Saccharomyces cerevisiae S288C: one gene and its partner. Each later gene encodes a partner of the first gene's protein in a complex. Each region holds a gene or a part of one and is shown on either strand. Other genes may lie near its edges. A codon is read from its position in the direction of its gene.

The links.
Region 2: the proteins of HFI1 (region 1) and SPT20 are in contact, whole or in part, in a cryo-EM structure (PDB 6T9I), measured with the Saccharomyces cerevisiae proteins. Residues at the interface, in NP_015069.1 of Saccharomyces cerevisiae: Cys211 (codon at 2,917), Ser212 (codon at 2,914), Val213 (codon at 2,911), Phe214 (codon at 2,908), Ala216 (codon at 2,902), Arg217 (codon at 2,899), Asn220 (codon at 2,890), Asp378 (codon at 2,416), Asp379 (codon at 2,413), Asp382 (codon at 2,404), Glu397 (codon at 2,359), Glu398 (codon at 2,356), Leu399 (codon at 2,353), Asn402 (codon at 2,344), Arg403 (codon at 2,341), Thr404 (codon at 2,338), Ile405 (codon at 2,335), Ser406 (codon at 2,332), Leu407 (codon at 2,329), Thr408 (codon at 2,326), Glu410 (codon at 2,320), Asp411 (codon at 2,317), Ile412 (codon at 2,314), Asp414 (codon at 2,308), Ser415 (codon at 2,305), Ile418 (codon at 2,296); in NP_014493.1 of Saccharomyces cerevisiae: Asp124 (codon at 1,946), Leu127 (codon at 1,937), Ile141 (codon at 1,895), Tyr146 (codon at 1,880), Lys180 (codon at 1,778), Leu183 (codon at 1,769), Glu184 (codon at 1,766), Val186 (codon at 1,760), Ala187 (codon at 1,757), Arg188 (codon at 1,754), Glu197 (codon at 1,727), Val215 (codon at 1,673), Asp217 (codon at 1,667), Asn220 (codon at 1,658), Thr221 (codon at 1,655), Val222 (codon at 1,652), Arg277 (codon at 1,487), Pro278 (codon at 1,484), Arg279 (codon at 1,481), Val280 (codon at 1,478), Tyr281 (codon at 1,475), Arg282 (codon at 1,472), Thr283 (codon at 1,469), Tyr293 (codon at 1,439), Tyr294 (codon at 1,436), Met296 (codon at 1,430), Met297 (codon at 1,427), Ser298 (codon at 1,424), Ala300 (codon at 1,418), Asp301 (codon at 1,415).

Annotation. Positions count from the first base shown.
Region 1 is NC_001148.4:67,923-73,031, reverse strand, and holds HFI1 (Hfi1p), read right to left. Parts: upstream 3,548-5,109; coding exon 2,081-3,547; downstream 1-2,080. Other genes in the region: VIK1 (Vik1p), read left to right, coding at 26-1,969; BBP1 (Bbp1p), read right to left, coding at 4,150-5,109. UniProt on the Saccharomyces cerevisiae protein: Component of the transcription coactivator SAGA complex. SAGA acts as a general cofactor required for essentially all RNA polymerase II transcription. At the promoters, SAGA is required for transcription pre-initiation complex (PIC) recruitment.
Region 2 is NC_001147.6:45,260-49,481, forward strand, and holds SPT20 (Spt20p), read right to left. Parts: upstream 2,316-4,222; coding exon 501-2,315; downstream 1-500. Other genes in the region: DCP1 (Dcp1p), read left to right, coding at 1-374; PEX11 (Pex11p), read right to left, coding at 2,674-3,384; DNA replication protein PSF3, read left to right, coding at 3,605-4,189. UniProt on the Saccharomyces cerevisiae protein: Component of the transcription coactivator SAGA complex. SAGA acts as a general cofactor required for essentially all RNA polymerase II transcription. At the promoters, SAGA is required for transcription pre-initiation complex (PIC) recruitment.

The sequences.
Region 1 (5,109 bases):
CACCATTTCCTGACCAGTGTACTTTATGGCGTCACAGCAAAACAAACACGCTTTTCTTTCAAAGAATAGAATCTTTCACAATCCCGATAATGTGTCCTCATCAAAATCTCGAAACCTTATGGATATCACAAACACGACAAACACCATGAATGGCTCTAGACCTTCGTCTATGAAGAGTTCATTGGCTCTTCCACCCGTAAAGGATTCCTTCCCATCTGTATCTCGATCTGCATCATTAAACATCAACATGAGCAAAATTAAGGACTTAAAAGACCGCCAAGACAAAATAAGGTTCCAAAGACATACTCTCAGGACTCAATTGATTGAGTGCGAAAGAGAAATCAAAACCATCAAGTTTCGAGATCTCAATAAGTCCAGGTTTGAACTTTATAAGAAAAAATCCAAACAAGCAAAGTATCTCAAACAGGTTAGAGATTTGACGCAAAATCTGAACTCCAAGGACGGTGAACGCGCTGATTTAATTAAGAAGAACAAATCCGCTTTGGCAACCTTGCAGGCTGAACTCGACCAGAATCTGATCTTGAAAAGGCAGGAATCTCAAGAATTGTACAATAATAAGCTTATCTTTTGGGAAAATGAGCTGCAAATAATGGAAAATGTCGAGCCTGACCACGAAATCACAGAGGAAATATCTCAGTTGAAGAAAACGCTGCAAGAGCTCAACATAAATTGGGCGAATTTACAGAAGCAAAACTTGGAAAGACAAGTAAACCACGAATCACAATTGAGGAAGGATTTTATTGCATTCAAAGAAGCTAAGTTAAAATCCATGGAAAATTTGACAAACAAACATCGTGAATTACTTGATCAGATAGCCACTCTACAATCGGAAAGTGAGAAGTTACACAAGGAGATCATGGATATAGATAGACAAGCTGAATATTCGGAACAAAACATCTCAGAAATAAATGAAAATATAAAACAATTGGAATTGGCAAACAACCCACTAATAAGCAAATCCTTACAAAACTCGCAAGATTTGGAACATTTACAAAACCAAATGGAAAATTTGAAAGAAATGGCCTCTAAACAGGAAAAATTTTATAATGATACCTATAACACTGTGGAAAAAGAACTCCTGCGGAGTAGGAGACTTGAAAACTCTATTATTGAACAAAAAGGCACGATGCGCTGTTACGCTTACGTGATGGAGCAAAATTTGCCTGAGAACCTTTTATTTGATTACGAAAATGGCGTAATAACCCAAGGTCTAAGCGAACATGTTTACAAATTTAATAGGGTGATACCGCATTTAAAAGTTTCTGAAGATAAATTTTTCACTCAAGAGTATAGCGTTTACCATGATATGTGCCTGAACCAAAAAAAAAATTTCAACTTAATATCTCTAAGCACCACTCCACATGGCTCATTGAGAGAGTCTCTAATAAAATTTTTGGCCGAAAAGGATACAATATATCAAAAACAATATGTGATCACCTTACAGTTTGTATTTTTATCAGATGACGAATTTTCTCAGGACATGCTCTTGGATTATTCCCACAATGATAAAGATAGCATAAAGTTGAAATTTGAAAAACACTCAATTTCTTTGGATTCCAAACTTGTCATCATAGAAAATGGACTCGAAGATTTGCCCTTAAATTTTAGTTGTGATGAACACCCAAATTTACCTCATTCTGGGATGGGTATAATCAAGGTGCAGTTTTTTCCTCGAGATTCAAAAAGCGATGGCAACAATGACCCCGTACCGGTGGACTTTTATTTTATCGAGTTAAATAATCTGAAGTCCATTGAACAGTTTGATAAAAGCATCTTTAAGAAGGAATCATGCGAGACCCCTATTGCACTTGTTCTGAAAAAACTAATTTCTGATACTAAATCCTTTTTCTTGCTAAACTTGAACGATTCAAAAAATGTCAATAAATTATTAACGATTTCAGAAGAAGTTCAAACACAACTTTGTAAAAGAAAGAAAAAGCTCACTTAAGCTCGGTCACATTATCGTCTTTCTTAACACAGCCATTTAGATATGAAACAAATAAGGTTTATAATCTTTCAATATAATTACAACATACCGCATACACACACTTTTTATACATCAATCTTCCGTTAAGATTCCTTTAATTAACCAATTTAATTCATGCCTTGTACCAACGTTTCTTTCATCCAAAGGCGTGAAAGTCGGCTTTTCATTTAAGAAGTCCGGCAAGTCGTCAATATTGCTCTTCATATCTACTAGTTCATCATCGTTAACTAGCCCTAAATTAGTTAACGCATAGTATGAACCTGAAGGTTCAACCAAATTCGGAAATATAGATAACGAATCATATATGTCTTCATTCGTTAATGATATCGTTCTGTTTTCATGTAACTCCTCATTAACTGCTTCGCCAGCCTTTGTAATGCTGCTCATTGATATGTCGCCAATATCGTCCTTGCTACTGTTATTGCCGTTATTAATACTTTTGGCTTCATCGGCACATTCATCCTCATTTTTATCATCATCTAACTGCTTAATTTTGGCATCGCGTTTATCAGCAGCCATTTCTGATACGGATTTATAAAGCCCACTCTCATTCAAATCATAATAATCTGAATATTTCTTCCTTCTATAACGAACTGTATCAATAGTAAACTCTATTATATTTTTTAGATATTGATCTAGGGCCAATGATATAAGCTCTACGCAACGTGCGTCCACTGTGCCGACTAACCCATGTTCTCTTGCTATACCAACCATTCTTAAGTAAAACGAATCCGTGTCTGGTAAAGAATGGCTTTCGCTCGCTAAAGGAACGTTGAATCCATTCATTATATCTTGTGACCATTCCAGCGGCGTTTTTAAATTATTGCTCTTGACACGCTTCAAACTTTCTGGATTGGTTACAATGGGAATTTTGGGTATATTATTTAATCTGGCTTGAAATACAGAGCAAAAAATGAAGCCTCTTTTGCCGGCCTCTTTCGTGATCATTTTAAGTCTATTTCGATCATTTAGAGGTAACGACATGACAATTTTTTTATAGACTTCAATTTGAGAGTTATGCTTATTGATTCTTTTTAGTTTATTGTTTGGATTGTTGCTTCCATTGCCAAATCCCCAAGAACTCTCATTACCGTTTCTCCCAAGAGGGTTTTCACGTAATGAATTAGCAAAAATCCCTAATAAAAGTTGGTTATGAAGTCGTACTAAACTATGGTGATGATTTGTATTTGATTTTTCTAAGCTTGCAGCGCTTGGTGAAAATACCAGCTCTAATTCATTAGAAAGTTCCTTTCTGGATAACTTCCCTAAAATGAAAAGACTGATGATCTGAGCATATTTCGTCCAGCTTTCTTTTCCCAATAGTGAGGTTAATTCTTCGATCATGGCACCCAAATCAATTCTCTGATTTGGTCCCTGAGGCTCCGCAGTTTCATTGTTACCATTGTTAGGCTCGGTATGATTACTGACGGCAGGACTACCAATTAGGCCCGGCTTCATATATGCATTCGTGGAAGCTGGCGAAGCAGCTGGATAAGTTGGCTGCAGAGGTTTAGGTGCTGGCGATTGTATAGCTGACATGATAGAAGAAATCAAAACTACTGGGCTTGTTTTCCCTATATTTTTATTGAATTTTTATTACCACTTATAGCTCAAAATTTATACTGTGGGAAAAATCACGTGCGAGAAAGTAAGCCCTATCCAATGATGATAACGAACAGACGAATGAAAAGAGCAACGATACTTTGTTAATCTGTTGTAAGTTCGATGTTCAAGGCACAAGTAGACAGAGACAATTTCGCGTTGCACCTACTTCTATCCTGAATTTTATCTTTTTTATTTTAACAAATTTATGTCACATCGTAACTTCAAGTTTCACTTTTTTTGTTCAAAATCGCAACCTGATAATGAAGAAAAAATGGGCGGGAATTACAGCTCGTGTTGAGTGATGATAATAAGAACGTATCTTTTTTTATTCCGTTATCTATATAATGTACATACCTAAGTAGTTAACACATTATCATTGCTATCATGACGTATTTTTAATGTTACAGTGGGAGAAACGTGTCAGCTTTTCTGCTTCAGCGTTCTATGAATCCGTCTATATTTTTTAAGTAATCAGTGTCCCATGAATGCGAATTAGAGTCGTAACTGTTATTTCCATTGTGGAATGGAGTCCTGTCCTATTGTCCTGTTGAAAAAATATTCGAACCAGCAGAAGTATCTTTTCTCTCGTTATTACGAAGGCTAAGCTGTAATAATAAATCATGTATTTCGGATTCATAATTGTCCCGCTGCATGTCCTTTTCTATTTGCAAATTGGTATATTTCAGCTCTAAATCGGATAGTCTTTGCTTCAATGTTTGTATTTCAAAGTTTTTCAAATCCTCCTCCTGATACAGCCGTTCCCTAGAAGTGGCCAGTTCAGCCTCATGACTGATCGTTTGATCAAGGACCTTTTTCAAACTCTTGTACTTCTGACCTAATGAATAATAATTTTCAAAGAGTGTCTTAGATTTCTTCAACTCGTTGACCAGTTCTGCTCTCATTTCCTCGTATGCTTGCTTATAAGTTTGCTCATTCCTGTGGAATTGCTCACGCTGCTCTCTAACATCCTCACACAAATCTTCCAGGTCTCTACTGTTCAAGTCCATTTGTGCAAAAAGATCAAAATATGCCTTTTTATACTCTCTATTCTTGTGGCAAGCATCTTCGTCCCGGACATAGTAATTGTCTATTTCATCACGTTTTGTTAAGGGAGATGGAAATTTGCCTGGTATATCTTTAACCGATAACTTATAGGGCGATCTTCTAACCTCATTAACTCCATCCTTGTTAAATAATTTCGAGAGCAAAGGGTCGTCTTCCTGAGGTGGTATAAAGGGTATCTGCGAATTGGAAAGCTCATTTATAGTTCTCCTTTTTGTGTGTAGTCTGTGACCAAATGTATCCGTAGGTTCGTTACGAAGTGGTTCTCTCGGTACTATCGGAGCAGGACTTCGTAAAGATCGTATTCTCTCTTTGCTGTGGTGGTCACCGTTAACAATTGAGTTAAAGCCGTTCTCGTTGTACTCTGGGAGTAACTCGTACTTCCTATGGAGCGTTGAATCCAGACCAGACCACGAATTTGACCTCGATAAGTT
Region 2 (4,222 bases), on another chromosome or scaffold:
ACAGGAATAGCAGTGGAAATGGGAACTCTTATAAAAGTAATGATTCGCTAACATATAATTGCGGCAAAACTTTAAGTGGAAAGGACATATACAATTATGGATTGATCATATTAAACCGAATTAATCCTGACAATTTTTCTATGGGCATTGTTCCCAATAGTGTCGTAAATAAAAGAAAAGTATTTAATGCAGAAGAGGATACACTTAACCCACTAGAGTGCATGGGGGTAGAGGTGAAAGATGAATTGGTCATTATTAAGAACTTGAAGCATGAGGTCTATGGTATATGGATTCATACAGTTAGTGATAGACAAAATATCTACGAACTAATAAAATATCTTCTGGAAAATGAGCCAAAAGATTCTTTTGCTTGAGCACAGAGGTGAGATGCCCAAGTGAGAATTTTTTTTAAATAATGATGTACTTTAATACAATATATATATATATATATATATATATATATATATATATATAAGGAATGATAACTCTATTTAAGTAGATTATGACATTGTAGTAGAAGAGGGCGTGCTACTTGCGCTCTGTTTCTTCTTAGTCATTCTTTTCTTTTTAGGAGCTGGTGTACCGCTCTCGCTTTTTTTTGCATTTTTTCTAGGTCGCTTAACCTTTGGTTTATCTAAATTATTATTATTATTATTATTGTTACTGGTGGCATTGTTACCACTCCGTTTATTTGCGTTTTTCATGGCTCCACCATTCTGTTGTTGCTCCAAGGCCTGCTGTTGTCTTTGAAGTAGCTGTTGCTGTGGAGTCAATGGTGCTGTCATCGATATTCTAGCGTTGAAGGGGGTTGGATTGATGTTTGCACTTAAAGCCTGCTGTTTTCTTTTTTCTTTATTTATTCTCCATTGTTCAATAAATTTCAGCCTGCTAAATTGATTATTATCGTTACCCATGGTAGATCCCACTGCAGCCGCAGCCGCTGCCGCTGCCAAAGCTACTTGATTGCCATTAGCCAAACTGTTATTCCTTGTATTTGATGCGGAATTCGAAGTTGAGGACGAAGCTCCACGTACCCCGTTGGAACTGGAGCTAGCAATCTCCATCGCATTCTTGGTTAACGAAACAGCAAACGTGGAGTTGGTTATCGTTGTTGTGCGTTCATTCATGATCAACATCAACTGTTCATAATTTGAACTATGTTGCGGAAATTCATCGCGTTCTTCGATATGCCCTACAACGCCCTTCGTGCCTTCTCTCGTAGACTCAGCACGATGTTCGTGAATGAAGGATTTTTTTTCACTATCCCAATGAGGTTCTGAAAAAGCTGTTTCCTCCAACATGTCTCGGTGCTCATATGGATTTAATGGCACACTTAGTGACAAGTTCCTCTTGGTAAGTGTTAAAATTTCAGATTCAAACTGTTGATAAATGCTATCAGAAAACCTGGCATTATCTGCATAAGACATCATGTCATAATACGTCGTCAAATCATTAGGCTTCAACAATGTTCGATATACTCTAGGTCGTTTGAAGGATGCCTTCTTATTTGCTGTGTTTGCGCCTGTATTTGCCACACCACTATTAGGTTCGGATGGTTGTTGAATCTTGGAATTGTCCTGTGTGCTATTATTATTTGAAGGGGAAGAAGAGCTGTTCAAATTAGGCTTGTTCTCTTTGGGGGTGACATCAACTGTATTAGTATGGTCATAAACCTGTAAAATAAGATTTCCTTCGTAAAATTGGATATTACAGTCCCTTAAGACTTCCATAATAGCATCAGGAATCCTTCCTCTTGCGACGTACTCTAAAAATTCTTTCAAAGTTTCGTTATTTTTGGTTAATATTAAACCGTCACTAGTCAGCTCGGGTTGCTTTTGCTGCTGTTGTAACCTGCTATTTGCAGGAGCGCAAATCTTATAATTATTCTCATAAATATGAAATTCAAAACTGTGTAAATATTGCTCATATTTTTTCAAAATTGAGTCTGCATCTTCCACAAAATTGTAAAGTCTTTTAGGTCTTTTGTTTAAGGTCATAAGCATTTGATAAAACTGAGCCTCATAGTTTTGGAGTGCTTGCTGTTTTCTCTGTTGTTCGAGTAGTCTTTGCTGTAGTAATAATCGTTGTCTTTGCTGCAATTGCTGTATTTGCTCCCTGGTTAAAGTCCTAGTACCTTCATTGGCATTACTATTACTGTTTGTCCTCATAACAGGATGATTTACATTTGCTACCGCTGGGTTCATAGGAGGTGGTACATTAACTGGACTGCCTGGCGAACCCATATTGGATGGTGTTGCGTTCACAGGAATACCAAATACATGGGGATCGTTTCCTGTCGGGCTATTGGCACTCATCCCTGAAATATATAGGCGCAAATTAACCGTAACTATTCCTTCCTAATCCTCTTGAAGGCTACTTTTCTCATTCTTTTATCTCTGCTGGTCGATCATCTTAACACTTCTTCATGATTAATGGTCGTCAGGTATCACGAGCGGGTAACAGAACTAAGCAGTTATAGCGATCCCAGTTTTACTTTAAAGATAGTTAGTTAGTTATTAATGGTGCGGATAACAAGAACTATTGTCACTCAGAATCTTATACAGGTATGGACATGGAACATTGGGTCATATACATAAGAAATAAATTATAAAGAAGGGTCGAATCAAACATAAGCGGAGAATAGCCAAATAAAAAAAAAAGATGAAAAGAAAGCTATGTAGCTTTCCACATGTCTTGCATACCAAGGATAGATGTGACAACACCGGATAGCGCAACATACTCTTCGTTGCTAGACAAGTACCCTAGGTTGTTGAGGACGATGAACGAATCTGCAGCATCCCAGAATAGTCTTCTTAACGCGGTGTACCTGTCTTGGTATGCCTTCCCTAGTACCTTCTTGTGATCCTCATGCTCATCGCCTTGGCTTTGTGATTTTGCCTTGACAAACGCAGCAATCTGGGCATGAGATGTTTGGATCTTACGAAGATCCATAGCCAGACCACTTAGGAGGCCGAACAGCCAACACCAATTGGACCAGCGAGGTATTTTCTTACCGGTAAGAACGGTTACAGGAATCACTTTCAAAATTCTCAAAAGATTGACTTGATCTAACGACAAATATGCAGCAAAGAAGATGTTTTTCAAAACATTGCAGACTCTAACGACGTTGTCGCTGGCCAACTTGTTATCGTAGAATTTAGCAGCTGCCTGCAAGTGGTTTAAAGGCTTCAGAAACCTCAGAAATTTTCTGACTGTGGTAAATTGAGCTTGTAATTGCCTGGCCAAGAGAGATGAGTTCTGTACTGCTAAAAATCTTGCTAAATACTGCAGTAATCTGAGAACCTTTTCTCTGCCAGCTGAGCCATCTAGAAATTTGACGAATCTCGTCACGGAGGGATGATATACCAGTGTATCACAGACCATATTGATTATACTATTACTTGATGAAGTCTTTGAAGTAGTAGATGGAGACAACGGTTTTTCAGTTGTTGGAGTCACTTCCCTTTTATATCTATAAATGATATACCCATCGCTTCGGGTTCTCCGAGATAAATGCCGACGCGTAGTGAAAATCGCAATGGAATTGATGCCAACTTTGTTCTTGGTATTATATTTTTACAATAGAAGGGCAAGCATAGAAAGGATGGGTTACTATGACATTGATGATGTCCTAGCAGATGGGACAGAGTTTCCTTGTAAATTTCAATATGATATTCCTGGTCTTGGTTATTTGGAAAACAACCCAGGACGACCCATAACGAAAAACACTAAACTAAGCCTGCCACTATGGTTAGCAAGAATCCTTGCAATTGTGGGTGGTGACGAAGCCTTGGTAGATGAAGAACCTGTACCTTTTGTGGAACTCCTGCCACCAGATATGTTTTCTACGAAAGTTATGAACGCTATAAAGACCGATCCGGTGGCTCTGGACTTGCATTCCATAAATTCGCATTTCTTCAGTCTAGCCATAAAATGGATAATGTTGTTTAGCGAAAAAGAACTGGCCAATGTCGTTAGTGAGCTACTTTTGCAACGTGCCCAAGAACTTAATCATCATGCTAGTAGTTTATCGATTGATCTCAATGCAGACTCGACCGGAAAAAATTCAGCGAACACTAATATAGCAACTAGCACATTTTTACTGAAACTAGAAGAAATGGAGAAGGAGATATATAAAAAGTCTCATGAATCTTATAAGGACACGAAAAGGTGGATGTTTAAAAAATAACACATCTTTTTCTTTAGAAATACACTATATAAA